Linked DNA regions of Styela clava. The protein of the gene in region 2 purifies or fractionates together with the protein of the main gene of each other region. This does not show direct contact. Links are inferred from orthologs where the notes say so. Each region holds a gene or a part of one and is shown on either strand. Other genes may lie near its edges.

Evidence for each region.
Region 1: the proteins of uncharacterized protein LOC120329709 (region 2) and uncharacterized protein LOC120344534 purify together in Homo sapiens (co-immunoprecipitation; 3 studies listed by IntAct, with this or other methods). This does not show direct contact. The link is inferred for Styela clava from reciprocal best matches to the Homo sapiens genes RRP1B and LYAR.

What each region holds. Positions count from the first base shown.
Region 1 is NC_135254.1:1,073,868-1,090,715, forward strand, and holds uncharacterized protein LOC120344534, read right to left. Parts: upstream 6,464-16,848; 5' UTR 5,767-6,463; coding exon 4,630-5,766; 3' UTR 4,095-4,629; downstream 1-4,094. Other genes in the region: small nuclear ribonucleoprotein F-like, read right to left, coding at 6,976-7,123, 8,271-8,386; transmembrane emp24 domain-containing protein 5-like, read left to right, coding at 9,531-9,683, 11,111-11,208, 11,862-12,057, 12,389-12,607. UniProt on the Homo sapiens protein: Plays a role in the maintenance of the appropriate processing of 47S/45S pre-rRNA to 32S/30S pre-rRNAs and their subsequent processing to produce 18S and 28S rRNAs. Also acts at the level of transcription regulation.
Region 2 is NC_135261.1:8,612,126-8,628,569, forward strand, and holds uncharacterized protein LOC120329709, read right to left. Parts: upstream 8,759-16,444; 5' UTR 8,699-8,758; coding exon 8,556-8,698; intron 7,740-8,555; coding exon 7,632-7,739; intron 7,433-7,631; coding exon 7,123-7,432; intron 6,538-7,122; coding exon 6,448-6,537; intron 5,862-6,447; coding exon 5,664-5,861; intron 4,867-5,663; coding exon 4,618-4,866; intron 4,186-4,617; coding exon 4,077-4,185; intron 3,112-4,076; coding exon 2,159-3,111; intron 1,843-2,158; coding exon 1,696-1,842; 3' UTR 1,668-1,695; downstream 1-1,667. Other genes in the region: peptide chain release factor 1-like, read right to left, coding at 9,443-10,762. UniProt on the Homo sapiens protein: Positively regulates DNA damage-induced apoptosis by acting as a transcriptional coactivator of proapoptotic target genes of the transcriptional activator E2F1.

The DNA.
Region 1 (16,848 bases), on a different chromosome or scaffold from region 2:
CTTGACAATTATAAAACCTCCCCTTCTTGGCTATGCCCCTGATAGCGATTGAGATCACATATTCATCAATAACATACTGTAACATACACATGTGGCCCGCGGGCCTGGGTTTGGACCACCCTGGTCTATACGGCAGCCTAATCGCTCTCTACAGAAGGCTCCATTCAAATGACTGAATCAATATAACCTTTCCCACCGCTATCTTCTCCTCTAAATAGGTCCCATATTTTTAAAGTCAAATTACTGTCTTTTAATTAACCTGCGAATCGATAAACGTAAACCTTGACACGACCGCCCTAAACAAACAAAAGTGACCGCTGTACTTTGAGTCCATCCGCTGTTTAATTGGCTCTCTTAAAATCGGGCAATAATTCTAAATTGCTTTAGACGCGATAATTTGACTGTTTGATTCATTCATACCTGGTTTCGTCTGAAGAGGATAGACCAGAGTTTCTCCACCCATAGGTCACGACCCAGAAATTTCGAAGGTCGTTTGTTTATTCAACAAAACCCTTAAAATCACTGCTTTTATTTCCTAGTAAATTTATTGTTTATTCGGTACTTCCAAAGTACGTGAACCAATATGGCGGACAACGGAACGTAGTATGTGTACCAGGTTAGGCCATAATTGTATTCCAATTTTAGTTCTATTACGAGTTCGGTGAATAGCCAATCGACTCCCGTAGTATTTGTACTTAAAATTATGGCATACACCCAACCTGGTACACATACTACATTCCGTTGTCCGCCATCTTGGTTCACATACTTCGAGAGTACCGTTTATTTAGTATTGAAGTCTTGCTCAATAGTAATCGTGTATGTGTGAAGTGTCCCAGCGTAGAAACTTGGCATTCGCTGTTATTAGTCAGTCAGGTAATTTTGTAACCCCATAGGATAGGATAGGATTTACATATTTAACCTAAGAGAGAGGAAAGCCGATAAGACGGCTTAATCTTATGGCGAACCACGGCCTCTCGTCCGGTTACCAGTCCAGTTTGTTTTCGGAAGCATGGACTTGATGGTGGAAGAAACCGTAACCGACCAGAGGTTACGTGAACCACCCTACGGCGGCGAGGAGTCCAGCAATCCTCTCGCACATAATCATCCCCGCATGGGATTCGAACCTGCGATCCCACGAAAGGTAATCAGAGATGCGGTGGCGAGCATGTTCCTAACGCTTAGCACGATGCGCCACACCGCCGAGCCATTTAAGACGGGTTCCCAAACCGCGGGTCAAATCCGGCCCGCGTGACGATTTAAAATGATCCGCCGAGCTTAAGTGAAATAGTGTTCAACAGAATTTGTTTCTACTTTTTGCGATCTAGATACCGATAATTGTTATGTCATTATCACAGTTTAAGCACGTGTTTATCGTCACAATTCAATTACACCGGCATTTCAATTATACGTACCGGTATTAGGATTACATAGGGAGTAATTTAGTTATGAGCCATTTAAGAAATCTTAGAGATGTCAAATCAAACTTTAGCGATTTGTCTTCTTTGCCAACGAACTATTCCAGTTCTGAAGGAATACAACATCAAGCGCAATTATGAGTCAAACAAACAAGTTTTAAAAAAATGTCAAATGAAAGTGAATCCACTGAGCCCCAGCTAAACCGTCGTACACTTACGGGCGCTACACTCTTCTGGCCCGCAAACATGCTTCCCGTTCTGATTTTGGCCCGTGAGCAATAAAGTTTGGGAACCCCTGATTTAAGGTATAAGCATTACATACCGTCTGGTATTTGAGCATATCCTTGGGTTACGAGATTTCTCTAAATTTATTTTTCAAAAAATTCGGGTCGCTTGAACAATGGTTAGGAACCACTTGTGCGGTGGCGAGAGTATTCCTAACGCTTAGCACGGTGTACAATCGTTAAAAGAGATTATGTTATTCTTACTTATCGCTGTATCTAGTTCAAGCATCCTTGGGCAACGGCTAAATACGGATCTAAAGTCGGCTACGGCTTTATTCACAATTAAGGGCATCTGAAACAAATAAGGGCGAACTATACGAATGGGTTGACATAGAATCCATGAATGAGTTATCTTATCGAATTTTGTGTATATAATATATATATGGTCATACCTAGTCAGTGTTAATTCTATAATCACAAGGGTACCGTAAAAGCGCCTAACTTCGGACAAAATTACTATATTTTCGTCAATAACTCGGCCATTTATTGTCCAAACGGCGCCAAAACGGCGCTCGGTAAAACATTCGTGCGGTAATTTACATTCCCTGCAAATTTCGGTTCAATTGGACTATTTTTACTATTGAAATAATCGATATTTCTTGCCATTTGACCGTTATCCTTCACTGCCCTAACTTCGGACAGTCATTTTCTTCACTGCGTAACCGCGACGCACAGAGAGAAAGAGGCTTCCGATGCGGATGAGGTAATCACGTCGTTGCGTGAAGATAAGACGCTCGATCGTCGTCGTAACGTAACATTGACGTCACGACGAAAATGCATTATTTGAAACTTCCGTGGTCCTATGTTTACATCTTTCGTTCGTTATTTTCGATACTTCAGATGAGTATAATAACACGTTAGTCATTTTAATCAGGAAATGCATACGTAAATATATCTGATACAAACCGTTTCAATCCACAATGAAGTATTTTAACGGGCTTCTATCGAAGTCTTTGAAGTATTAATATTCTCGACAGATAGCTTTTTTTTATTCTGCGCGGTTATCTTTATAAATGATAATTTATATCAAACACACGGTAAATCCGATTGTAAAGTTTAATTTAAAATTCAACTTAATCTTGTAAACATGTAGGTCCCGTTTATTTGTTGGAGATTAAATTTATTTTTAATTTCGATTGAATAAAATTCACCCAGGCCGTATTCAATAACTGTCATTTCGACTACTAATCATAAAATAATGGTTAAGTGCAGTGCACTGTGCCATATGGACGTTGGAATTATCATAGTTTTATATATTCGATTTTTAACGTCATCGATTAAGTGTGACATGTATTTTCATTAATGTAATTTTGGCATATATTCATACATGACCGAACAAAATACAAAAATATTACGTTGGAACGCCGTCTTTATCTTAACGGAAATTGTCATATTGGCTCCGTTGTGTCTGGCGTCAAAATTCATTTCCGCGACGCAGTGTGACGTCGTTTCGTAGGTGAGCGAAAAATAATCTACGTGAGGTTGACGTAATTTTTGACGCTGCGTGAAATCTTAATATTCTTACGGAATTTATAATTCAGAATTTTAGATTTTATTTAAATCTCGTACGACATCTTGCGATCACTCAAATAAATTATATACATTGTTGTCGCCCTCTACCGAATGATGGTATTTTGACGACGATAGCTTCAGTAGGAGCGACGCTCTGCGCCGTTGAATGCCGGGCAGTCAATTTTCGGCAAAATTTCCGTTTTTTTACCAAAAAAATAATTATGCAACATTAAAAAAGATGAGAATAGATGTAGATATAACAGCACAACCTATAATAATTAAAATTAGCAATATACGGCGCGTTTTAGCCAAGATATGGCCGTTCAAAAATTTTGTCCGAAGTTAGGGACTGTCCGAAGTTAGGCGCTTTTACGGTAGCATATTTTGTAATAAAATTTGTTATGGCTAAACAAACATCAATCAATACCCAGCCATAGCTACAGGAGCTTTACAGACATTGATAGTTTTTGTTACCTTTTCCGACATCGTATTTATGTGAGGCCAAGTTTTTAATATTGACAACTACAAAAACAAAATATTGAAGTAGGCTGGATGTAAGATACACGCTACGTGTATCACTTTCCGCCATATCTCCAAATTGGGAACAGTTAATGGTGAACAAGTACAGATATCGCATTAAATAGCATCACCTTCGTTTTGAGTATATTGTCAACATAAAATGTTAATTATTTGCGAAAGAAGTCCTAGACTTCTCGCCGCCGGTCAGTTACGGTTTCTTCCACCATCAAGTCCATGAATCTGAAGCATATACCTGGTCAAGTTATCCCATACCCGACATAGACTGATAACTGGACGAGAGGCGTGGTTTCCCACACAAATAAGCTGCCTTACCACCCCCCCCCCCCCAAAAAAAAAGATAAATATGTAAATTCTACCTCAAGGCATTTGAAACAGTAGATACATGGGCTTCTATGTGTTCTTTGTTTAAACATGGCCCTATAATTCAGTACAGTGGATCATAAGGTTTTGGCCATTTATTAGTACCGGTAAGTTTATTTAAAAAATTAGTAATTGGTAATATTCTCTAGTCTGAATTATATATCATTTTTTCTTCTTCTTTAGAGCTCTACTCAAAGAGGAAATATTACTGGATCCAGCACAATAAGCAATACAAAGCCTTTAATCCAAGAAGCCAAAAATTGAAAATAACTGTTTTGAGAATATATGAAAAAAACATCAACTTTTTTTCAACTTTTATTTAAAATAGTTCGGTAAATATTGCTGATCAAACCATGGTTGATTTCCAGTCTAAAAACCAATTATGTCTATGTAAAATTTTTAATCAATATTGTTTTCAAAATTTGCCCCTAAGTACGGAGAACTCGCCTTGTCCATTGCTTTGCTCGGAGCAAATAGCTGGTGGGTAATAAGCAGGGAGGAGCAGAAAGAAATATTTCTCAATCAACTTCGGTTTTAATTTTTTTCTTTTTGTGTTTTTTCTTTATTTTCGAGTCAACTCCCACATTTTTTAATTCCGAATTGTCAATTTTTATCAAACTTTCATCAGTAATCCCATTATCAGCATTTTTGAGTCCGTTTCTGCCTTTTTTAGATTTCTTCTTTTTTTTCTTCAGTATAGCAGCATTTTCTTCGTGATTTAGCACCAAATTATCAGCACTTTTCATTATAATTTCATCCTTCCCACTATTTTCATCGGTTTTCTGAATTTCAGTTTTTCCTATTTTATTGTTTTCTTTACAATTCCTTATATCTTTCTTCTTTTTCTTAGATTTTCCAGAATTTTCAGTGGTGTCCAGTTTTCTCTTCTTTATTTTACGAGAGTTTTCGCATTCTTTTCCAGCATTTTCATTGTCTTCATTTAACGAGATATTCACTGAACTCTCATTTTTGTCTTTCAATTCTCTTTTATGTTTCAAAGTCTTTTTTTTCTTGGGTTTTTCTGCTGAAATTTCATCTTTTTCAAGATTATTTGAAACGTTTTCATCCAATTTCAGTTTTTTCTTTTTTTTATCTTTTTTATTGACAATTTCGGAATCATTTTTTGCTGATTCAGCAGTTTTTTCAACTTCCTTTATTTTAACACCCTCTTCTTCCCGGGAATCCCCATTTGACTCCCCTTTACAATTTTTGACATCATTTTTTCCGTTTGCTGCAGAAAAAGCCGACCAAATTTCCTCCCCAAGTTTCGAATCATACATTCTCAAACTATTTTTCAAAAAATTGAGGAATTTTGGGCGTTTTCTTGGAATATTATCGTAGTTTTTTAGATTTTCAATAAGTTGTTTCGCTTTTGAGCTCAAATTTGAGTTAGAATCCGACAGAATCGAGTCAATATTATCAAGCCATTTTTGTTGCTTAACGTCACCTTTATTTGGTTTAAATTCCGTACCTTTAGCAGAATATTTTTGATCTTCGGTGATGCACGAAGTGTGGTTTTTGTAATCGTCGCCGTAAAAATCACAACTACAATCAATGCAGGTTAAATATTCGCATCCGCGGCAAGTATAAACATGTTTTTCGACTTTGTTTTTTTTTAAAGATTCTCCACAGCCACTGCAGGTATAGAAAACCATTTTCTAAAATATTATTTAAAGTCTAAAAGTTAGAAAAAAAGTTGGACAGAATAAACGCAAAAATGATGAAATGAATAAACTATTATTCCAAATACATTTTAAAATAAAATTTCTGGGTTGCCAGAATTCTCAGCCCAAAACACAAATAAGTCAATGAATTAGTTTAAAAATATTATTTAAACCAGGGATGTGCAACCTTTAAAAAGAGCGCCAAATACAAACAACTGGGTGAAAACGCTTTATTTAACAAAGGCTTACTTAAACCCAGGGGTTGCCAAAAAAATCAACTTTTTTTAATCTGTCATACCAGATACATTATGATTTTGGTCCCAAAAACAAGAATTTTAGGAATTTCCTCCCCGTTGAACATTTCTACTCTCATCAGAGCTTTAGACAGGAAAAAAGAAATGATATCTAATAATTTAGATTAGTTAGAGAATGTTACAAACTGATGAATGGTCAAAACCCAATAGTATTCTTTACCAATTACATTCTGAATTATGATGTTGAACAAGGAACACATAAAAATCAATCTATATTCAGTGAATTCAAAAAACCTGTGGGAATTAATTTAGGAAATGATATTTGTACCAAGGGTGGTCAAAAAGAATAATCTGCAATTCATAATACATTTTAAAATGAGTGAATTTGCAAAATCTGTTGAAATTAGTTTAGAAAATGAATTTAAACCAAGGGTGGCCAATAAGAATTCCTAAGCACATTTTCAAATATATTGTCGTAATAAGGTCAAATGCTTTAAATCAGAACAAGTCAAAAAGTCAAAAACAAAATTTAAAAGACGAAAGCAATTTTACTAAGCATTTTTAACAGCTCACATAACACATATGACAATGTTTCCATTATTGAAATTCGATATAATGACCCATGTAAAAACCATCGTAGATGCGATCACCAAACCAGTGGGAAAAATATAAAAAGTCCAAGCTTAATGCTGCAGATTTCTGAAAGCATTAGGCATACTTATTAAGTTAAAAGGTATCAATTCTCACTCTGGAACAAAATCTAAGGCGTGAGGATGAATGATCTCGAGAAAAGCCATAATGGCAGAGAAGTTTATGATTAGATAAAACATTCGGACATTCAACTAAGTCCCAAAAGCTCAAAATTTAATGATTCTTTTCGAAAAAAAAAAAAGTGTTGTATCTAGGTTTGGAAGTCTTCAGTATAGAAAGGAATTCCCGGGGAGGATTATTCTTTCATTTCTCCTTCTTCATCATCTTCTTCTACTCCCCGGATGTAAAGTACGTTATTACAACGAATCAATATTTCTCCGAGATGTCCTGATAAAGCCCCGTCAACATATTCTTCTGTGTTTGCCAGTTGCATGTTCATATACCTGGAATATTGTTTAAAGTTTTAACTTGAGATAAGATTTATCCAGGAGAAAAAAAACGGTCAAATTGGCTGAAATCCAGCCACAATCAGTTAGTTGTTACATGAAAAGGGGGAACCAGACTTAAAAATTATTTGAAGTTTTCAACTGAGATATGACATTTTTATATTTATCTCAAAGAGGAATTTTGATGAGACAACAAAATCATATGACAAACTGCTACCACTCAGCTCAGCGACTGGCACATTGCAGTGAAACAAAGTTCTACGATTCCAAGATTTGGTTCAATAAAACAAATACCCGCTTTGTCTCTGAAATAAGGGCATCTCGTACAATGCCAGTTGCGTAAGATTGTTTCATGTTCGTTGCGATAATAGTATAAACCAATCGTGACGACAAACTCTTGAATTCTATGTTAAACTAATTTTTTTTTCTTTGGTAAATTAAATTAGGATAGGATTTACATATTTATCCCGGGGGAGAGGAAAGCCGATAAGACGGCTTATCCATATGGCGAGCCACGGCCTCTCGTCCGGTTACCATTCCAAGTTGGGTATGGGATTAGATATATTGTTTGTTTTCGGAAGCATGGACTTGGTGGTGGAGGAAGCCGTAACCGACCAGCGGTTACGTGATCCACCCAATGACGGCGAGGAGTCCAGCAATCCTCTCGCACATAACCATCTCTGCATGGGATTCGAACCTGCGAACCCACGCAGAGTAATTAGAAGTGTGGTGGCGACCGTATTCCTAACGCTTAACCCGTTGAGCCACATCGCCGCGCTTTTTTCTGTGGATTCCAATTTTTTTAGATTCCACTTCCATTTAATTTATTGCGTAATTCCAGTTTGTGGTGATATAGAGGTGCCAGAGGTTTGCAGTCACTATTTTAAATGATGTCTTTAAATGTTGGAGGTTATTCTTGGAATCGTAGAACTGTGCCATACTTTAATTTTTTAAGGTAAAAGTTGTGAAGAAACGGCTATGTTTGATGCATCATTTTGAAAGCCATGGATACGCTTGCCATCGCATCAATTATTACAGGATTATCTGTCCTAACGGTTTCCCTATCTTCCAGGGTAAAATAAAATCTGAGCTTTTATTTGGCAAGGCCCGATTTATCCTGTTAACTAAATAAATCAGTTCTTACCCGTCCACAGACACGAGATATCCTTTATATTCCATTCCCCATTTCAGTTTCACGATGACAGGTTTTCCAGTCAATGAATTTATGAATGGTTTCGGGTTCATAGGAAGCGTAGTCATGATGATTTTCTGCTGATATCTGCTGGAAAGAAACTAGAAAACACGAATTCTAATCAACAAAGCAACTCGCGACAAACGTGCGATTCTATCGGTGGTGTACGGAGTCTGGTTTTTCTTGCTTTCGTTGATTGGATTTGTATGGTCCAGTGGTTCCCAACCTTTTCCGTTGAATTCCGATATCGTGCTCTTTATTTCTACCTCAATATACATAAAGAGCATTTCATTTATTCAATCTCCAATTGATCCTAATCCTGTAATCGTGTAAAATAGGATTATAGCAATAATAAACAACTGAAAAATATCGTATAAGTATAACTTATTATATCGTAATAATGATAATTTCAAAGTCAAGGTCCATTAGTGAATGAGAAAAGCGATTTTTTCATAAAGTAACAAGAAAATTAATAATAACAACAGAAAAATAATAAAACGAGCCATGGTTTCATTTCGTAGATAAAAAATTAAAATAATACCTATCGCACGAGCGTACACATCCGAAACGTCCACTTTATCCATACCCATGTTCTTTCAAACTTTTTTTCCAAATGACTCACTTCGCACGGCCAATTTTTTTTGTGACCTTAGGTACTAAAATTAAAATTTGATAAAACAGAAACCATTGAAAAATAAAAATAAAATTGACGATACATTCAATATGATCGATGCTCGCATATTCTCACACAAAAGATCAAATTTTGACGAATATACGTATCAATCTTTCACATTGAATCGATATTTTGTTTTAATATAGTTGGTGTTGAAATCTCTTTACCGCGACCACCATTATGTCATTTCGCGACCCACCGGTATGGCGGGAATTGATGCGTGGTCGGGACCCCCAGTTTTGAGATCCCTAATCAATAAAATTTTTTGAAGGGGATTTGTGGCAGATCTTGTCCACAAGATAAACATATTACATTCATAAAAGTAATACCAGATCTTAAATTAAAATACAGCGCAAGAAATATACGATAATTTGAAGATCTTGAAAAAGGGTATCGAGGCGGTTGCCACGACTAGAATTCAACTTTAACCCCTGACCCTACGCTCTCATTTCCGCATTTCGTGTCGTTTGCTTCCCGTACGCCGGCGTTCAGCATAGATTGGAGTTTTTTCTGTTTGAAGTTGAGACGAAATAGACAAAATGTTTATCAAATTGGTTTTCTATTTGTCTGTAATTGTAGCAGGATCATTCGGGTACCGGGATGTCGACTTTACCGTTCAAATTTCGCCGATGAAACGAGAATGCTTTTATGAAACAACCAAAGCAGGACGTGCAATGGACATTGAATTTCAGGTTTGTTGATAGCAATAGGATGTTATTTTTGTATTTATCCTGGGAGGTGAAAGCCGAAAACAGTGTTAATCATTATTACTTATCGAATTTAATCGGTAAGTATGTTGATAGGTATTTGTTTGTCTGTTAGATGCAAGCGATACCGGTATCTCATGAAAGCGAGATTGAATCTGCTCCAGATTTTGCATGTGCATTCATCATATGTCGTACTAGGAGCCTATTGATTTTGGATGAATTATGTTGTATAATTAGCGAGTTAATAATTAATTAGTGATGGGACACAAGGTGTCACTATGGAGTAAGAGCGCTGTTTTGGGGGATCCCCTAACTTTCGATTGATAAGTCTTCGGTCTCTGACCGATATTCTCGTTGTAATGGTTAACTAGTTACAGATATTTTTCTTGATGTTGGGGAACAACAGTATCGGAGTATGCAACGTTTAACAAATTGCAGAATTGAGCAATATTGTCGAATTTTAAAGAGGATAAATGCTGATTCTTTCCCAGATCAGCAGATAGCATGTCTTAGTAGTGCGATATCAGTACAGAATAAAATGAAGCTGCGCAGTAACCAAAGAATCGTAATCTAAAAACGGCATTATAGGATTTCAGAAGAAAATAATTTAATTTGCAGAAAAAAAAAAAATTGGATGTTCTTAGCAAAAAACAGTCAACAAATCGAATTTCGCTTATCTGACAACTCACTCAAATAATGATGATTGAATGATGCTTTTATTCGATGAGCTACTGCACAGGAATCAATCGAGCTTCCTAAATGTTTCATTCAGATCCCACTCCAACAAAAGTGTTGAAAAATACTAGTGGGGTCTGGTATAGTTTAGTACCACATATAGCCTACTTCTAATCGGCCTGGCTCGACAATTTTTTCATATGTCATTCCAACCCCCACCTGACTACTTTACCAAAAAATTATGTCACTATTACGTCACAGTGGCATATTCAAGACCTCCAAAGTGTACAAATGGTCGTCTGAAACGCGCCTACGATCACCCGAAATCGAGCAAGCTATTTTTCTCGTCGCAACGGTCCCGATATGAGAGAGACAGCCTGTGTTTGAGAGTTTGTTACGGTCGGCGTAGATGCTGTTTCGGGCGATCGTAGCTATACATTGGCAAGCTATATGACGTGATTGTGACATCGTAGTGCCGAATTTTTGGATGATATAGTCATGTTAGGAATAATATAATTCGTTATGCTGCGCCCACTGGAAGTACTTGTGGTACTAAACTATACTAGACCCTACAAGTGCAATGAAATAGTTATATAAAGTTAAATCGCAAAGATAGCAATCTTTACAATCATGTTTTAGCTACTGATGGTTTATTATTTCTTTTATCTCAGTGGTCGCTTTCTAAAGCCCCAATTGGAGTGAAATTCGTTATTTGAGCAATTTTGTTTTCTTTCCAGGTCATAGACGGGGGAGATCTCGACATCAACTTTATGATTCAAGCACCGGATGGCCGGGTTGTTGTCAGCGATATGAGAAAGACGGACGGGATACACACGTAAGTTCCATTGAATAAGGATCTTCATAAATTTTGAAATGGTATGTTTGAAATTATTGCTTAAATGCTGAACGGGAAAGATAATATCCTTTAGCTCCACATATAGTTGGGGGTACTGCTGTAGTGTGCGAACCAAGATGACAGAAGACACCAATACGTAGTATGTGTACCAGGTTAGGCCATAATTTTATTCCATATTTCAGCTCTATTGCGAGTTCGGAGACTAGCCAAGTGACTCCTGTAGTATTTGTACCTGAAATTATTGCCTAACCCTAACCTGGTACACATGCTACGTTTTGGTATCCGCCATCTTGGTTCACATACTACGGGAGTACCCATAGTCGGTGCATGTTTGTACAGATTAAAGTGTGAAAGGTATTCATAACAAAAAATTTTACTGTGCCGGATATAACTACATTTGAGTATAACTGATACAGACATCCTTATCAATTCCATATTTGTTAGCGTAGGTTTTTCTTTTGGAAACAAGGCTCTGTACTGATATGAAATGACTATTATTCCTGAAAAGGCCACTGGACAGTGGTTTCCAACCTTTTCTGTAGAACTCCAAAAACATGGAGAAACCCTTGTGCATTTGATAAGATTTGTTATCATGAAAAGTTCCTATCAAAATGTTTTCATTTTTTTTTCAGTGTGGACCCGACAGTTGAAGGCGACTACGTTGTCTGTTTCGACAACTCATTCAGTCGTATGACGGGGAAAACCGTATTTTTCGAGATCATTGAAGATTCTGCCGGGGAGGAAGAAGAAGAGGATGGGGGCTGGAAAGACGCTGTCGAACCAGATGAACAATACGGCGACAAGCTCCAATCTTTGGAGGTAGCATCGGTAAATTCGTCATGTCATTATGCATGTCTGTGATTGGAACATACATAATTTGTAGTTTTTTGTTTGAGACTGGCGGACACTGGAACGTAGTATGTGTACCAGGTTAGGGTTAAGCCATAATTTCTGGTACAAATACTACGGAAGTCACTTGGCTAGTCCCGATTTTGTAATAGAATTAAAGTAAGGAATATAGGAATAGAATTATGGCCTCATCCTAACATGGTACACATACTACATTCCGGTATCCGCTGTCTTGGTACGCATACTTCAGTAGTACCCCTAGTTATAATATGCCTGTAAATCATTTTAATTCAAATTTCTCTTTTTCCAGGACACCATGAATGTGATCCGATCGAACCTCGGAAAGACGTCTCAACTTCAAGGCTTATTACGAGCGTTTGAGGCCAAAGATCGAGGAATCGCTGAGCGAAATTTTGAGCGCGTTAACTTCTGGTCCGCGTTGAACATCATCGTGATGTTAGTTGTTCTTTCTCTGCAAGTTTACACAGTTAGGAGCATGTTCTCAGACAATAGGAAAGTCCGCACTTAAAATCAAAACACAGAGGGGGGGGGGAATTGGGGGGCTGGCTAATGAAAAAAAATTTCTACTAAAAATGCTTCTTTTAATTTCGAATATTTTACATTGGTTGCAGTTGAAACATGGGGGGATTGGGGGGGGGGGGGGTAGGCTAATAAAAAAAATTGTATTTCAAAATGCTGCTTATTATTACTTGTTTGTTTTTTTATATTTCAAATTGGTTGGAATAAAACCAGAGGGACACCAAAGCACAGAGGGGGGGGGGGGATAGGTTCATCAAAAAAATATTGTATTCAAAATTGCTGCTTGAATAGGTTAACTTCACTTTCGCAAAGGAATTATAATATTTTGAGTTGCGTTTTGTGAAATTTCATTGAATTTTTTGGGTAAAAATGGTCAAATTCATTTAGAAAAATTTTTGTTCATGAAGTCTTCTTTATTTCTGAGTGAGTGCACATCCCCATGCTCGGAGTATATTCCCTACAAACAAGATAATTCAAATTGGCTAATCATACTATTGGCAAAGCTGTTTTAATTTACTGGGTTCTCAATAAATAGCTAGGTCTACCTGAGATTACTTTTATTTGTATTATTAATTCTGTTAAACATTATATTGACTTTAATATGTGATATTTACGACGCTAGGGTCACCATACACTGTTGGGGAGGAGAAGTTGGTATTCTGTGTCTTTGTTTTCTATCAAGAGTAATGGTTTCTAACATACTGGCGATGTACTTATGAAATATTCATCCATTAGAGTTCATTGAATTTCATTTTCGAACTTTCAAAGTTTCCAAGTAAAATTTGATGTCTGATAATCCATTGCTAACCTCAACTGTGCTGCTTTTGCAAGTGGAACTCTATGAACATCTTAAAATGCAAATTCCTCTGTTGAACTTTAGTATCTACTATACTAGAGCCACCATACCCTAGTTTTAAGTATTTATATTTAGGTCTTCCTTTTTCCATCTGGAAATAATGATTTCGAACATACATAGGTGTTGTTTTTATGAAATATCCATTAGGGATCATTGAATTTTATCCTATTGGAACATTCACAAGATTTTCGAGCAAAATTTATTATTTGTTGCTTAGCTTACGACAATCGACACAAAAATAAAATTCCGCTGCTTTAACAAAATTCAAATCTCCACAAAGTTTCATAGATTTGGACTTTTGCAAATTTCTTCTGTTGAACACAAATTAGAATATATTTGAACATATTATTTTGAAATGTATTAGGAATAATGGATTTTTCAATATCAACAATCTTCTTGTGACAGCAATTCCCAACCGGGGTCCCGTGGCCCATCAAAGGGGCCACAAAGTGGTTGAAGGAGGGCCACAATGCTAGGCGCAAAACTGATTTTTCCTTTACGAGTTAACTCCCCTGTTCTTCCTAATTTCATTGCTTGACAAGGTTATTTCACAGGATGTTTTTTTTTTGTTGAGCATGAATTGTTTGAACATAACGGGATTCGGAATCTACCAATCAAATAACACTATAAATACTACTGGAATGACAAACAGTGGGACCACGAGTGCTAAAAGCCTCCAGCAGGGGCCGCGAGGTTGGGAACCACTGCATTATGACAAATTATATCGTGAAGACATTTATTATTTTACTTTTTGCAGTTTACATGGCAGTAATTTAATAAATGATAAAATTACACTTTTTTATAACTTTTGTAGGAAAGTCATTTATTATTATCGTGTGTTTAATAATTTTAGAATAAGAAATGAGGCGTGACTGGCCAGAATAATTTCATTTAAACAGGCGGTACCTACCGTGTTTCCTCGAAAATAAGACTTAGCCTGACTTTTGAAAAAATGATTTTAATATAAGCCCTCCCCTTAAAATAAACAGACAGGTACCGATGATGCTATTTGTCACTTTGTTGTATTTGTACGTTGGCTACAATATGCAGTTACACACACAAAACTTATTTGGCCAAGACAATAAGTCTTCCTTAAGAAGAGCATATGGAAGAAGCCTTTTAAACAAAATGCAAATAGCATGAAGCATAAGTCGGCACTTTTGTAGTATATAGAATTTTCACAATTTCTTGAAGTTTCATATCGAAGTGAAATATATTCATATTATGAGCATGTTCCTTGTCTGGGTTTGTTTTATTCTGCTGGGCTGCCTGAAAATACTACGTATTTTTCCGAACATCGATTTCCTTGTTTATTGGACACGTAGTGGACATAACGATCGTTTCAATATTATGTTGTTCTTGTTGTTTAACACAGAATAACACACATAGTGGAAATATTAAAAAAACGCTTTTCTCTTCGAATACTGCACCAATTGCTTTGAAATTTTCAGTTGTTGAAGATAAAATTTTCCCCCAGAAGGCTATTACTTTTATTCATTTTAAATATTTCTGTTAGCTCTGTGAGATTTGTTTTTGTTTGCTATGACGTCATTAAACGTTCTGCGGACATCGGACGCCGTTTTGTGTCCTACTGTACTGCTTCGCTTGGTGTGAATATATTTGTAGACTGTGATCGACGGTACGGTGAACCGTACTGTACTGCGAACAGACGTGTCCATATATTTGGGCGTAGCTCTCTTGTTCCTGTAACAATGCTAACCTTGCAAGAAAATGTATGAATCAGGTAGTGCTTCATCGCCTACACTTGAAACCGACATTGCTTTAAAAGTTGCGCCTTGTAGCCCTATGCGCTGTACGTATGAATAAAACCCAGTCTAAGCGATATATTGTACCTTGTGGTAGCGAACTTTTCGTGTCCTCGCCGATTTTGGGCACCATGTGCGGTATGTAACCGGGTGTTTTCGCCTTCCTGTGCATAAATTGTTTTATCATAATGGAATTTGTAATTCTACCAATCAAAATAATTGATTGTCAGGCGTCTAACTTGCAGATAACGGTCAAACGTATTCTACAATTAACGACAGCTTCGCTTTAGACCAGGGGTGTGCAAACTGCGGCCCGCGAGCCGAATGCGGCCCGCAAGAAGAAGTTGTGCGGCCCGCGGAGAAATAACAATTTCGAATGGTGTACCCGCAAAACGAGTATTTATTCTTTATCGTCGCAAAGCCCATACCAGTCATATTAGCAAAACAAACTAGCAAAATTCTGTGGCAAAATACACGATTTATATTACAAAAACGTGTTTCTCACTGCATTCGTTTGAAGTCGGTGTGACAAAAAATTTAAATAGCAGTTTCTTCAGAAGTTTATGCGCTTTAAATCTACTATTTCTGCAAGAAACCCTAATAATGCCGTAAGATCAATAGCAAATATAAGCAATTTTTGTGCTTGCAACTACCAGAAAGCCTAAATTAAATAAAGGTGCGGCCCGCGGCTTCACCCAGTTACTTGTATTTGGCCAATAAAAAAGCTTGCACACCCCTGCTTTAGACTACTAGATAGCCGTCGTAAAGTATAACAGATGCAGAAAATATATTTATATTATTACTATAAGACTTAAACTGTGCAAAAACAGGAGTACGATTTGCGCATAACTCTTAACTATTTGAATGTCCAATGCCCAAGAAATGGAGCGGCAGTTATGTCGTCTGTCTCCGAGTAAATCGGTATGACAGCGGTTCCCAACCGGGGACCCGTAGCCTATCAAGGGGGGTTCTCAGAGTGGTTGGAGGGGGCCCCAATGCCAGGCGCCTAACTGATTCCACATTTCCCTTTACAGAAAAACTCCTCGTTCTTCTATTTCACAAGGTGTTTTCACTTTGTTGAGCATAAATTGTTTGAACATAATGGACCTTTCCCCAACCTTTGACCCCCGAAAAATTCTTCCTATACTTTACCATTGCAAAATTTTCGTGGCTATTTTAAGAGCGCTTTTGCGAGTTGGCGCCTGTAAAATGGGGTATGTGTTGCAAACCATCATTATGATTCATCGCATACAACAATCTGTTTTTTGAAAGTACCGGTAAAGAATTTCAGGCTAGTCTATCACAGCCTAATTTTTATTACTGCAATTAAACTCCTAGGAAGACAGAGTGATCATTGAATTATCTGATTTATATTTAAGTTTCCGAAACACAACTGAAAACTAACGAATAGAGTTCAGAAAAGCGAAAACGAGGTAATGTTCACAACCACACTTGAAAATCTGTCTGAGTGAGAAAAGTGTCTGAGCGGATGCGAAAAAGGGGCATTGTTACGTTACTTTTTGCATCTTGCTGATTGGCCAATGTCACGAAGTAAACAAGGAAAACGATGCTCGGGGAAAGATCCATGGGATTGGCAGTCTACCAATC
Region 2 (16,444 bases):
TCTCTTTCGTTCAAACTCATCAACCCTGCCTGATTATCACACCGTTCTAATTCGGTATATTGAATGTGACAAAGCCGACAAAATGGTGCCATCTCACTTCAAGAGGTGCCTATTGAGCGACGAACTGCTTGACCTCATTTGCCTTTACGCAGTCGACGGGAGATGGAACGCGAGCCATCATGCGGATCGATCGATATGTTTCCATGGAGAAGTACTGCTTCAGATAGAGAAATATGGAAATAAAAGTCAGCATTGCAATGGGGGACCGTATTGCTATTAAATTATGATTTTTATATTACACTTGAACTGGTGTTACATTCGTATGATTCCTCACACGAAATGCAGTACACATTCTATTTTGCATCGAACTCACTAACAACTGGTTTCATAGTTTCAGAAAATGTATGTATGTCACTATATAAGCTACATGATCATGACACGCTTTTATCAGATTAATCTTGCAACTGCCGAAGCGCCAAATGTATCGCTAGTCGCCAGCTGCGGTGCACGTTATCCATTTTCAGTAATCAGTAATTTATTTCTTCACCATGCTAAAAATTCGAACTATACATATACAAATTAAAAGAAACATAAAAAAAGTCGCGTTCCAGTGTGAAGGAAGACGCCTAAAACCAATACTGGTTATCGAGCGGCGGCACCTTTGGGAAAGTCTAACCAAAGCCATTACAGTATATAATTAGACAGGCTGGTGTAACAAAAACGTGATAAATAGAATAAAATCAAACTGAATATCTTATTTACTAAATAAAAAAGGTAAGTCAAGGCGACGGTCGTTCAGATTCTAGAAAGAAAATAAAAGCGAGTCGCTGATGATCACGGCATCTCGAAAACGGATTCGAGCGAACCCGCTAAATCCCACCACCGGTCTCAAAATATACCACCAGGACTGTTTCATATTAACAAATGTGATATTAGGTCGTTTGAGCTTGTTCAGCTCGCAATTTCGCTACAGCACGGTCCAAAGAGATTGTGTGACTTATAGCAACTCAAACCGTCACGTACCACGTTTTAAACCTTACTCAGGGCTTTGTTTGCTCTCTCGAGTCTGTAGTCCGGTTTCATTATTACTTATCGATGTTAAGTATGTTGATAGGTATTTGTCTGTTAGATACACGCGATATCTCACGAAAGCGAGGTTGAATCTGCTCCAAATCTTGCATGTGCATTCATCATAGTTCGGAACAGAAGCCCATTGATTTTGGATGGATTATGTTGTATAATTAGCGAGTTAATAATTAATTAGTGATGGTACACACGGTGTCACTATGGAGTAAGACCACTGTTTTGGTGGATCCCCTAACCTCCGATCGATAAGTCTTCGGTTTCCAACCGAATTCTAGTTTTATTGTTGACAATTATGCTGAATTTGGAGTCTAAATTAACTTATTAGGTGTAGAAGACTGTTGCTGCACCGCTATTGGACATTTTTCTAAACTAAGCGCATTTGATGACAGGCAAAGCAAATGGCCCTGCAGATTCGAATAATCAGATTCATTTCCTGTAGAGGTGACATGTTGTTGCGTGTGCGCAGGCGAAAGCTCTATTCATATTCCTTTTTTCATGCCACCCAACTTCAACATCTGCTTTATTATCCCGCCGCTATAGCAAAAATGTAGCCTAAATTACAAACACTGAGCATACAAAAATAGGGGAAAGGCTTGTATTTATTAGTCACTAAAAGAAATCAGCAGCACTTTTTCTTTTTTGATTCCTTCCTTTTTTCAACAATCCAAAATCTGGAGTTTTCCTGGGATCAAAAGCAACATTACCAGGTGATGTGCTAACAGCAGTAGACTTGTCAAACTTTCTAAATGGTTGAATCTGAAATAAATTAAAAAGTAAGAATGAATATGCAATCACAGAAATTGCAACTAACACAAACTTATAAATAGACAATCAAATGATTTACTTTTACGGCAAGGTTGCACTTCATTGCAACAGAAAGTCCTATTATGGGTGTGTATCAAAAATGTTGTGTCCCACTTGTCCAGGGCAGGGCAAAGTGGGACGAGGGTGACACGACATTTTCGAGATAAAGTGGGTGTAGCTACATCAATCTAAATATCCAAATATAAAACAAAGTGAGCGCTTGGGTACTCACACACATGAAAACATATTTTCTGTATGAGTAACATACCTGTGTTTTAGACATTTCGAAAACTACTCTCTTTGGTGAATGTGCTGCAACTGGTTCCTGTATTTTCCTCTTTACTGCAACATTGTGTTTGTTTTTCTTCGCCTTATCGACTTTTGACGCTGCAACTTTAAAGAAGGTTGATATCGCAGGCACAGAGTTGGTATTTGATATTTGTGCAAATTTTTCTCCTTCAGTAATAGCATCATTGGACTTATTTTTCTTTTTCGGCACTTTTGTTTCCGATGTATTTATGTCACTTTCAGGTGCTTCTTCCAGAGCTTCACTTTTCTGCTTTTTCTTTTTCGAATTTGTTACTGATGGACTTTTCGCAATGATATCATTTTCATTACTAATTTCATTGCTGTTAGTTGATAGATTGGGATCAGTTTCATTCACGACTTCTGGCTTGAATAAGCTTTTCCTCTTTTTTTTGCGCTTCCTTAACGCTGGTTTTTCATGATTGTCAGATTTGGCAGTACTTGGTTTTTGAACATTGTTACTTAACGATTCAAGGTTATCTTTAGTGGCATGACCATCTACATCTGTTGAGCATACGATAGTCGGATTATCCTGTTTTACGCTATCATTTACGGATTCTTGATCTTGTGAATTGTGAGTTGCAGAATCCAACCACACCTTTAACTGTTTTTTGGATTTCAATTTGTCTTTGCGCTTCAACTTTTTCACTAAAGCTTGTTTACATTCTTGAATATCTTGTAATATATCTGGGATGTTTTCGGAAGGTTGGGGCTCAGTTTTGGAAATTTCTTTCGCTTCAGTTAGCATCTTTGCCTTTTTCTTGTCCTTTTTCTTTTTTGGAAGAAGTTCTGATACTGTACTATTGACGTCTTGCTCAGAAGTGCTGCTGCTACTTTCTTTCCCAAGATTTGAACCAATGATGATTGTTTTTTGTTCAATCTTTTTTTTCTTCTTCTTTTTCTTGGTAGAATTGACTGAAATAAGGAGGATTTAAATAAAGTAGGTGAGTCAGTAGGGAATTACGGTAGCTCTACAAAAAAACGCGGAGCAGAGTATATGTGGATAGGATTTACATATTTATCCCCGGAGATAGGAAAGCTGATAAGACGACTTAACCATATGGCGAACCACGGCCTCTCGTCCGCTTACTATTCCATGTCGGTATGGGATTAGTTAGCCATTTGTTTTCGAAGCATGAACCTGATGGTGGAGGAGGCCGTAACCGACCAGCGGTTACATGAACCACCGTTCGGCGGAAAAGAGTCCAGCAATCCTCTCGCACATAACCATCCCCGCATGGGATCACTATGAAAATGGAACTGATACTTCACAAGATGGCACTTACTCATGCATTAAACCTGATAATAATTATCAGTAAATATTAGATAAAGTAAATATCTCACAGATGCTAATGTAAAACACAGAACTTGCAGTTCAAACCACAGGGAAAATCACTTTCCCATTTGTATTTTTAACCAGTCAAATTGCAATTGAAAATGTCTATAAATTTGGCTCAAATCATTTTTAAAGAGTAGCAGGAAAAATTTGATTACTGTCATATATCATGGTTTGCACAAAAGTCAACAGAAGAGATAAAAAAAAGCTTTTCTATGGGTGGCAGATATCTAGATAACTTAATATTAACTGCAAATAGTGCCTCAATGTAAGTTTCCCTGACGTTTGACCACACTAAAATTCATCCTGTACTTTACCCACACAAAATATTTATATTTAAATATTATCATTTTTAGCAGCAAAAAAAGAATAAATAATGTTTATAAATATCCTTGGAAATTGTAATTATTACGTACGATAAGTGTTAAGTTACTGATGATTAGACATTCTCCTGATGCTCAGTGTAAACATCCATTTCAAGAAGTACAGTATTGATTTTTGTAAAATATATTGATAAATTTCTAGTTATCCACAGTTACCGTACCATTTATAGATGATTGATTATTATTGGTATCAACATTTTCAGATGAATCCACAAAATCTTCAAGACTTTCACTGGTGTTGGCATCAATATCTTCCTTTACATCTATAGCCTGTGAAACCGAAAAATTTCAATTATTATTTGAAAATAGTTTCTTTATAAAGCTATAATTAATTACAAAATATTTTCAAACATGTTTTCTCTACTTGAAAAGACTTTTTCAAAATAAGAAAGATGTAAAAAAAATTGTGTTGCTTTCCGAAGTCAAATACCTCTAGCAGGCATGCCATGCATACTGGGTACTCCCGTAGTGTGTGTACCAGGTTAGGGTTAGGCCATAATTTTATTCAGATTTTCCTCATTTTAGTTTCAGTCCCTTTACACAACTTGATGCAAAGTAGGCGAACAAAATTAGTTCCCCCATATTGATTATTGGTACACGCACTTCTGGAGTGCCGCATTTTGTACCATTGGCATAACTCCATACATAATACAAATAAAGACTCCTGTATGAGCATCCATAGCCCTAATGCACACAGCTTACCGTTGGGACCATTAAATCATCATCACTATTTACACCATCCTCGATTTGTCTTTTTCGTTTTCGCCTTTTTGTTTTCCGATATTCTCGTTTGTCTTCCATTTCTTTCCCGCTCTCAGATATGATTTTATTAGCTAAGTCTTCTTCCAACATTTTAACTTCATCTTCAGATGAATATTCTGCATCTGGAATATCGCTAAGCGGAACGCGGCCTTGAGCAAGCTCTCGAAACTTCTCTACCATTCGAAAGACCTAAATAAACCAACATATCATATTGAAAAATCAAGTACATGCCAACTAAGAACACTCTTCAGCTATGTGGACATAAATCATTGATTAATTGACTGCGATTTGAATGAAAGTTCAAATGTGATGGTGTTGCATGTTACAGTTTGAATGCCTGTTATAATAAACACCATTTCCCCACCAATTCACTATACTGTAAAAGATTGTGCACTGCTCAGTTAGGAAAACTTTCACAAATATTGAGCTGAAATCGTACTTTTAAACTTTCATAACAGATATTGAAAAAGCCTTCCCAGCAGACAATAAAAAAGGGCCTATGGCCAAAGTATGGTTTTCCTGAAGTTGGAAGCCGGGGATGGTTTAAACTTCTAAGATTTGAGATGAGGGATGTTGCACTAATCCCGATTTTTTCACGTTGTGAACAAACCTGAAATCAGCGCAACAGTGCCCCCACTCTAGATCAGGGGTTGGCAACTTTTCTAGTCGACGGGCCAGATGTCAAAATTTACCACAATTTGAACTTTTTTCAAACTGGAGTCTTTCTTAAAACTTAGAGTTTGGAGTCACAGCTAGATGTGAATTCAGCCCGAATGGGCCATCTTGCTTATTGTATTACCAAACCCACCAGATATGTACAGGTATGCAGCTTTCTCACATGCGCTTTCTCACGAAAAGTAGTTTTTATTGTATATTCTGTTTTTTTACCATGTTACGTTAACCAAGGTGTTGAATCTTTCCTTCGCATGTCACTGCAAATAGTAGCAAGAATAGCAATCTCTACATCCTACACCGAAAAGCATTACCTTTTTTCTATTTCTTGCTAACACACCATCTTGACTTGCCAGTTCAAATAAACGATCAGCAAGTCCGGAATAATCAACATTCAATGCTGTAATTGGTGACGAATCGTAACTTTCTGTTTGAGTATGACCTTTAACATTTATAGAAACTTCTTCCTCTGCGAGCAACTCAAGAGCGGGCTTAGAATTATCAATGAGTTCCTAGAAAGATAAGATAACAAAGAGGTCAATAATATGAAGAAAAATTAGTCAGATAGAACAGGGTTTCCAAACTTTTTGGGCCGCAGACCCCTATTTGTGAATCTTAGTTTTAACGGACCTCCATCCAATGTCGTATCAGTTTCTTTGTCTAATCAACGAGGAAGAATAATGTTTCATTATTTTGCCATCATATATGTAAGAGCTGAAAATGCTGCCTCAAACATGTAGGTCGTTGCAAAAGACAATCAAATTGTAATTGCCTTTTTTGACAGCAATGGATATTCGTTCACAACGCTCAACCAAAAAGATGCAATGGCTTTTTGATTGAAATCAATCATTGAAGATCGAATAGATGTTGCGGACCCCCTGTGCAATCATCACAGACCGCCAGGGTTCCGTGGACCCAGTTTGATTCATTAAAAATTTGTCTAGCTCAGAAAAGAGCACCACATCCGATATTTCTCAGAGTGAGATATTACGCAGAGGCAGTTCACAATATGATCAAGCTTTTCTATGCATTTCCCTCCCATATGATAAATATGTTACACCGAATCCTATTATGTAACATAAAATCAACATCACAAACCTGGAAGACGTTGGTTGCAACTGCATTGACAATGTCATAATTCTTTGCACTTGCCACAATGATACAGTATGGATCTAAAAACCTCAACACCTAAATTTGAAAAAGCAATGTAGGTTTATTCCATTTGTTGCATCAACAGTTACTCCCACAGCGAGGGTACCAGGTTAGGGTTAGGTCATACTTTTATTCAGATTTTCCCTATTTCAGTTCTATTACGAGTTCATGAACTGTCTGTGTTAGCCAAGTGAATATACCCCCTGCCCATAGGGTTAAGTCCCTTTACACAACTTGATGTAAAATAGAGGAGCAAAATTAGTTACCTCCATATTGGTACACACACTTCTGGAGCGCCCATCAACATGCCAAATTTGGCAAGCATTTATCATAGGACGTTGTATTTTGTGGTATACTCAATCCTTGCATTATGTATTGATCCATGTCGGGTATGGGATTAGTTAGCCAGGTATTTGTTTCAGATGCATGGACTTGATGGTGGAGGAGGCCGTAGACACTAAGTTGTTATGGGAATCACCCTATGGTGGTGGCGAGGAGCTCAGTAATCCTCTCGCACATAATTATCCCCCACAAGATTGTACCTGTGAACCCACGCAGAATAATCAGCGATGCGACGGCAAACATACTTCCTGACTGAACAAATAAAATACTAAATCTTACCATTTGAGAATCTAGTTCGTCTTTGCATATTTTTGATAATTCTTCCAGATATATGTCACTGAAGTGGTACTGCATACCAGATACAGGTTTTGTTGGACAAATCGGTCCATTTTTCAGGATAGCTAGAAGCCAATCTACGTTTCCAGCATCCCAACTTCGAGTTTTTAAAAACTCAAAAGCTTTTCGCAAGACGCATCGAACTAACAGATAGAATTTATCCATCCGAAGTCTATCTATTCCCTTCCATTCACGTTGCATGGTTTCAAGAAATGTATCAAAAAATAACATCGCTGTTTTTATATTGGAAAGCCTGAAACCAGAATGAAATATGTTACAAAATTTAAAACAAACTCATTTACCGTAAGACAGGATGTAGGTAACACATGTCATGAAATTTTATAAAAATTACAAAATAAAATTTCTGTAAAATGGTGTAAGAATAATTAAAATAAATCATTAAGAAAACTTAGGGAGTATCACAGACTAACAGTATTTGAATATGGACATACCCTGGCAAAAGATCTGATATTTTATTTGCAAGATCTTCTTGTACAAGAGGTTTATCAGACATCCACATGCAGTAAAATAATCCTTTCCAGATACTCAGCATCTCAATTCTATGAAATAAAATCGCATATCCATAGTTTAATATAATATTTTTTTACACCACTCAACATAAAGTGAGTAGGCTATGACTCTTCAGATCAGGGTTCCCAAACTGGGGTCCGCGGATCCCTGAGGGTTCGTAATGACTGCACACAGGGTCCACAAGGATATGAAGAGTCTGATCAATCTTTCAGCATTTTCAGCTCTTACCAATATGATGACAAAATACATGCAGAGTACTGTACACTGTGTTATCTTTCCTCGTTGGTTAGTCAGAGAAATTGATAAGGCTCAGGATGGGGGTCCGTGAAGTGGCGTGAACCTAGGATTCACAAACAGGGGTCCTCGCCACTCCGCGGCCCAAAAAGTTTGGGAAATTCTGTTTTAGACGATCACTCCCTATTCACTCAATACAAGGCTCTGGACAATTAGGAATTTTAAATTTGCCAAAACGACCTCAAACCTCCCAGTTAAATATAGCCACGGTGATGGAGAGCCTTTTAGAACAATCAGGAGTGGAGTCGAAATATTCAAACTTTCAATGCCAAAATAATAAGGCTATGGATAGGGATAGGATTTTATTTACAATCCTGATTTAACAATACATAGCATATTTGTGCAAAACTTGCAACATCACAGAATATTTAACTGTAGGTAATATTGAGACACATAGATTGTAATCTATCATTATTAGGAATAGTGAGCCCCGAAAAAAAAATCAAACTTTTTTATCTACAGTAAATTATACCAAGTTGTTCATCACCGAATTAATTTTTATTATTCTCTGCCTGAGATAAAAACAATGTAACGACAAAAAACATACACACCTCGTGAATCCACCATCTGTTTTTGCCGATCTGAGATTGAGAAACTGTCTTAATTTCTTCAGAGCTTTATCCCTACATCTTTTATCGTTTCCAGCTAACCGTCTGGCAAATTCAGCCTCGATTGAAGCAGGAGCCACAGCCATTTTGGGCTTTTCAAACAGGTAAATTTAAAATTATGACTAAAAGTCAAATATGAAAAAAACATAAATATATTTTAGAATATTATGGACATTAATAAATATTTGACTAATTCGTAATAAAGAACTTGGAACATGTGAACAATAGCAAAAAATTGGCATTTAAAAATATCAAAAAAAGATGCTAAATTTCATGCTCAATTATCAAGAGTTCACAATCAGTTGTTTATAAAAAACACGCTTTTCGACTATAAAAGCCATGTTTAGCAATCGGAAAGAGACACTGAGAAACAATATTTTTTTAATAGGATGGTCAATGTCAATACATTTATCACATTTAGTTTAAATACTGCAATAAAATGCCTGCAATACTGCCCAGTGACATCTCTCGATAGAACTGCCATCATTTTCACACCATGAAACAATATAAAGAGCATTCTTATACCAAATATAGATTTATAGCCAATTAATAAAAGGTATAATCCAAATATGTAGCCTACCAAATGTAGCCTGCCAAATGTAGCCTGTCAAATATGTAGATAATTTAACAAACTCAAGTTGCAATCAGCAACTCACTAGGTAATGTAATAACCTGTAGGTAATAGGTTCTGCCACTGATTCATTTGCAGCCAAGTCAAGTTCACTAAAAAAAAATATTTGATTGTACCTGTATAATAATATAAGTTAACAACAACATTTTTAAAACTAATTATCGTTTCCGGTAGCCTATCAATCATAATCAGATCATAGTTACTTTGAAACAGCTGATTTGACTTTCTTGTCATTAAAAAACAATTGTCCTTCATCAAGCAAAATTTTACTTGTAATATTTAATTCTTCCAATTGAGTTTTACTGTTTAATTTTTCCATCAAATTAAGCAAAGTTGTTTCACCATTAAGAAACTTTGCAATTCCATGGGTAGTGAAGCCAATTCTATGATCAGTCACACGATCTTGATGATAATTATAAGTCCTAATTTTATCGGAACGCTCCCGATTTTTGACCTGCTGTTGACGAGCTTTAGTGAGAGCACTTTGTTGCATACTATGTTTTTCTGATGCTAATATAGCTTCTAGCATTTGCATAGCACGATCCTTATTATCATGTTGAGATCTTGTAGCATTACATTCAACAATCTTTCCAGTTTTAATATGTTTTAATCGAATTGCGGATTCAGTTTTATTTGCGTGTTGACCACCTGAAGAATTAGAGCGTTTAAAACGTTGAACCTCCACATCTTTTTCATCAAGTGTTTCAGTTCGATTGCTAAAAACTGGAAGTAAAGCGACGGATGCTGTACTGGTGTGTATTCGTCCAGCTTTTTCTGTCTCTGGCACACGTTGTACCCTATGGGTACCAATCTCATTCTTAAACAATTGATACATATTTCTATCTATAAAATTTATATTTGCTGAAGACTTCTTCAATCCTCCAATATCAGTATACTCGACATTTAAAATTTCAAAATCATGTCCAAATCTTATACAAAAAGATTGATACATTTCGAGTAATTCTGATGCAAAAAGCATGGCTTCTTGACCCCCAACGCCCGCTGACACTTCGAGAACTGCGTTGGAAACTTGATTATCACCGTGCATTATTTCAAAAAGCTTCGACACAATTATTTCATTACATGACTCTATTTCTTTCAAAAGTTCTTCTTTTTCATCTTCTGCAATTTTAATTAAATCATCTTTTTCATCAGATTTAGCTTCAGTTAATGCTTCAGATACAAAAGATTCAACTTCTTTTAAATTATCATGAACACCGTACAGATTATCAATATCATTGTTCAAATTTTCCAATTTATGAATCGCAACCTTAGGATTGCTCCCAAAAAACTCTAATAATGAAGGTGGCCATTTTGTCTTTGAGCTAGATTCTATATTTAAACGTCCATAAGCAAACTTGAAATAATCAAAAAGATCTTTATGGTGAATCTTCTCTCCTTTCATAATCGAAGACGTAGACAATTGAACAGCATGTCTGATAATGCCACAACATGTAACTGATTTGTGTAATAATTGAGATTTATTGCAACAAGTCCGAGTGAGGAATGTTAGAAACATAATACAGGTTAATCCTGTAATTATAGTCTAAATAACAAACCTAGAACTGATGAACAACAGAATAGCAAATTCACAGATTCCAAAAATATCCCCAATATCTGAATATTTAGATATATGAAAATAAATAAGATGAAATTTGGTAGGAGACATTTCTTTAGTTCTTTACTGCTGTACTGCCTAACTGATACAGTGATATGGGACATGCATGCAATAAATTAAATATAGATGTTACTTTGACAGATTCATATTCAGATATTCTATTTCCATCGTGCATGAAGTATTGTACCGACACAAGTAATAAAAAAAATGGTAACAATAATATCAATTGAAATAAAGAGACATACAATATTACTGCAAGTGATAAATTGATCAAAATCTTAAAACTGTAACAAGCAATGATTTAGAGAAGAACATTTTGTTTGAGTAATAGGCGACTGAGTGGGGTGCCTTTTTGCATTGATAGCATTATGGAATTTGAAAAGAAAAAATTATGATGAATTATTTGACTGATAATTGTTGATTCTATAGTGAATTTAAACTATAAGTTATTTAGAACACTATATCATTGATATTCAGGGTCTCATGTAGTTCCTACCTAACATACTTCTAGTGGGCGTAGCATGACAATTTTTTCACGTATCAATCCTAACCCCCACCTGACTACACCATCCAAAAATTACATCATTACCACGTCACAGTGAAGTCTGAAAGTAATAGAGCCCTTCAAACTATATGAACTCGTCGCAACGATTCCAATAAGAGAGAGATCGATAACGTCGGTCAGTTCTTCTGTTCTTTAGCGTCGGCGCCAATGCCATTTCGGGCGATTGTACGTATATTTGGCAAGCTCAGTCTATGACGGGATTGTGATCTCGTAGTGACGTAATTTTTGGATGGCGTAGTCAGATGGGGGTTAGGATTGACATATCAAAAAATTGTTATGCTACTCCCACTAGAAGTACGTTACGAAAAAGGTACGAAAATACACGAGACCCAATATTCAGATATTTAAGTATTATCAAGGCATTTCAGTAAGTGTGGCCCTCGGCTAGCTTACGGGAGAGTGACAAGTGTCCATCCTCATTTTTTGTCCAACTTACGCCAATTGTCACTTCTACACTTCAACATTCAGTTCGACTGTCAGACTGTTCGATAACAATTCACTCATTCAGATTCTATAAGTTCAGAACTTTATCATAACTCACAATTCAGCAATTCTGTAATTGAATATTTCATGTTGCAGTGTTTCGTCCGCTTGAAACATGTAATAGCCTACCTACTCCACTCAATTACGCGAGTTACCGTATGTTATATCCCTATTCTACATGCGTCAGTCAGCAGACATATACATACATAAGCATATGAGGTCCCAACTTTTTTTTTTTGCCAAATTCAAATCCATTGCCAAATCGGATTTATACAAATGATAGTTTTGGTATATCCAAATAATCAAATATATATTTCAATATTATTGCATGAGGTCCAAATTTTATTTTATTTTTGTGATGTTATTTAGGTGATTTCATACAATGAATAAGTATACAATGAAAAGATTACGCAACTAACTGCAGCTAATAGCCATGCTGCAACAATGGTTATTTCCCGACCCTTGACCTCACCTCGCCAATGCAAAATATTACAATAATATTATTTTTTTTTTGAAGGTGTTTCAACGATCTGGTCATTATATAATAACTGAGGTTAAAAAAAATATTCTTATCTATATTTACACTTTCCGTAACTTTTATCTTCATTATGACGAGTATTGGGATAAGTTAACATTTGCATATTTGTCCCGGGGGGAAGGAAACCGATAAGACGGTCTTAATATAAGTTTATCCGACGCCATAATCAGCATAACAGCAACAATGGTATATATTTACGGAAAAACAAATAAATGAATATTGATCATGAAATCAGAAGAGCAAACCAAACCTCAGATTAGGTTTAAAACATACAGATATAGGATGGAAAGTTTTGCCAAGGAGGATAGGATAGGATTTACATATTTATCCCGGGGGATAGGAAAGTCGATAAGACGGCTTAATCATATGACGAACCACGGCCTCTCGTTCTGTTTTCGGAAGCATGGACTTGATGGTGGAGGAAGCCGTAACCGACCAGCGGTTACGTGAACCACCCTACGGCGGCGAGGAATCCAGCAATCCTCTCGCACATGATCATTCCCGCATGGGATTCGAACCTGCGATCCCACGAAGAGTAATCAGAAATGCGGTGGCGAGCGTATTCCTAACGCTTAGCACAATGCGCCACACCGCCGAGCCAAGAAAAGGTACGTGTTCACTAACCTGAAATTAATAAATGAATTCACACACACTCACATGTACCACTCGCAACCACAGAGATATTATAAAGTAAAAAAAACGCTATAAACTTAAAAGATAGAAAACAAAAAAAAAAATAAATAAAATCATAATTATGTCTGAAATTCCGCCTCCGATTAATTTAGAATTTCGACTCCGAGTCCCGCTACTAGCTTCACAATGGTAGCAAAGTGACTATAAATTCCGACTTTTTGACATTGATGAACGGCAACTAAACCTTCTCGATAAATGCAGAAATGCGAGGTTGGTATAATGGATTTTATTGGTGATTTCCGTGTACAAATGATATTTAATGAAATTCTGCTGTTTATGAGAGATCATATACGGCAATTATCGTAAAGTAGGCCTAGTTCTGTAGTTGGAAAGATAGGTACGGTAATCATATGACATTACCGATATGATTATTCAGCCGTCCTAGTTTGTACCGCACTGCTGATTTACAAGCTAACGGTTGTGTATTATTACTGTATTGCTGTAATGGTCTATATCAGTGGCCAGTGGTTCTCAAACTTTTTTAGTCCCAGAGCCGCATTTCAAACCTCAAAGTTATTATATTTGATGGTGTAGCGTACCGGCAATGTATGAAATAATTATCCAAGTTCAGAATATCTTCTAATATGATCTGACGTCAAGTTTTCTCTCAATAGTCCAAGTCTTTATGCTATTTTATGTCATTTATTAACAACTCGAACAGTAAACGATCCAAAACAACCAAACACTCCCCAAAGGAACGAAAAGCATAAAATAAAAATAACAGATACCAGGCAGTAAAATGCAAGAAAGACCACATACACAACAAAAACACTGACCAACCCTGAAATCCAAGACAACTCTGAATAAAAAACCAAATGACCCCTAGAATCTGGTACAATGAACTAGCTACTGCAATTTGTAAAACAGGCCGAAAGTAACTTATGACAGGCATTTAAAAAGACTATGAACAATTCTATAGGTGCACAACATTTGAACAATACTGATGAAAGCTAATTCCACGATAAAACTGAAAATACAACACTACGGTAAATGAACTGTAATGGCACTGTACTGGTAAAATCAATAACATGGTCCCTACGTCAGCCCACTGTCCAGCACAAAACATCCGACAGTCACACAACACAGACAAACATCCCTGAAGACCAGACGCATTCACACAGACATTCAAAACCCACCAATCTAACCGAAACACTCAGACGACTCCACTCTGTCACACACAGCATACACCAACAGACCACGCTGCCCCCGAGAACCGATCGACCGTGTCGCAGCGTCTAAACTGCTAGAATACCAAATATGGAAACGATATCACATGACGTCATTTAACAGGCAAAACAAGGGTCGTCACATTACCCCCCTCTTCTAGATGGAACATTATGAAAGAATGTTTTCATCTCTAAAAAAAATATTTGAAACACGAAAAGCAGTAGTCAAAACCAAATTATGTCCACAAATGTCTTTAAAATATGCAGGCCGTCTACCCTCACGCTTAAGCATCCGTAAAGTTTGTCATTCGGGATTGAGTCCACCAACGTCATCGAAACGACCAAATTGATGTTGCATATCTCCATTGGCTCAACAATGGCTACTATGTTAGATCTCCGGACGGCCAAGGCTGTTGTAGCTGAACTAGAACAACCATTCCCGAGCGGCCGGTATAACCACATCTTCACTATAGTCCCATGACAGCAGGGAGAAGCTGTTTGGTGCTGTACCTTAACATCCTGTCCCTCAAGAACAAAACGATGCGACGAATTTGCCAAGATAGTCCATCCGTGACCCTAGATCGGCGACGGCAACGGTATGCTCCACAGGCCAGCTTTCAATCGTCAGGTTGACATCAAGTGCACCATGAGACACTAACGACTCGCCACTGGCAGTACGCAATGGTACTGGAAAAGAATACAGTTCTGAAATGTCCGAATTTCCTGCAACGTCGAGTAAACAGCGGTGTCTATGAGCGAGACACCCGAACCGAATTTTCCGCAACGTCAAGTAAACAGCGGTGTCTATGAGCGAGACACCCGCACGTGACCCTGGATCGGCGACCACAACTGTATGCTCCACAGACCAGCTTTCAATCGTCAGGTTGACATCAAGTACACCGTGAGACACAAATGACTCGCAACTGGCAGTACGGAGTGGCACTGGAACAGGATGCAGCCCCGAAATGTTCGAATCTTCCTGCAACGTCGAGTAAACAGCGGTGTCAATGAGCCAGACACCCGCACCGGTATCAATCAAAAACAAAACAGGCACGTTATTGACCAGAGCCTTGACATATCATCCATTAGTCCAAGTAATAGAAAAAAAAATCATAGTTCATAGAAAATATCCTGGCGTGCTCTCGCCAAAAATTGTAGCGTACCGGCAATGTATGAAATAATTATCCAAGTTCAGAATATCTTCTAATATGATCTGACGTCAAGTTTTCTCTCAATAGTCCAAGTCTTTATGCTATTTTATGTCATTTATTGACAACTCGAACAGTAAACGATCCAAAACAACCAAACACTCCCCAAAGGAACGAAAAGCATAAAATAAAAATAACAGATACCAGGCAGTAAAATGCAAGAAAGACCACATACACAACAAAAACACTGACCAACCCTGAAATCCAAGACAACTCTGAATAAAAAACCAAATGACCCCTAGAATCTGGTACAATGAACTAGCTACTGCAATTTGTAAAACAGGCCGAAAGTAACTTATGACAGGCATTTAAAAAGACTATGAACAATTCTATAGGTGCACAACATTTGAACAATACTGATGAAAGCTAATTCCACGATAAAACTGAAAATACAACACTACGGTAAATGAACTGTAATGGCACTGTACTGGTAAAATCAATAACATGGTCCCTACGTCAGCCCACTGTCCAGCACAAAACATCCGACAGTCACACAACACAGACAAACATCCCTGAAGACCAGACGCATTCACACAGACATTCAAAACCCACCAATCTAACCGAAACACTCAGACGACTCCACTCTGTCACACACAGCATACACCAACAGACCACGCTGCCCCCGAGAACCGATCGACCGTGTCGCAGCGTCTAAACTGCTAGAATACCAAAACGATATCACATGACGTCATTTAACAGGCAAAACAAGGGTCGTCACAATGGTCACAATGCAATGTGACAAATATTGTTTTTTTGTTTCAATTTCATGTTGTTATTACTGTATTATTTATCTGTAGTGCATTACATTTTCAATTTCTGGTTGTATATCAGCGTAGTTTACTTTTATCAGTATTATCTTTTAGACCAGGGGTTCTCAAACTTTTGGTGTTGCGGAGCCCGTGAAGAGGTTGACTATTATTCACGGAGCCC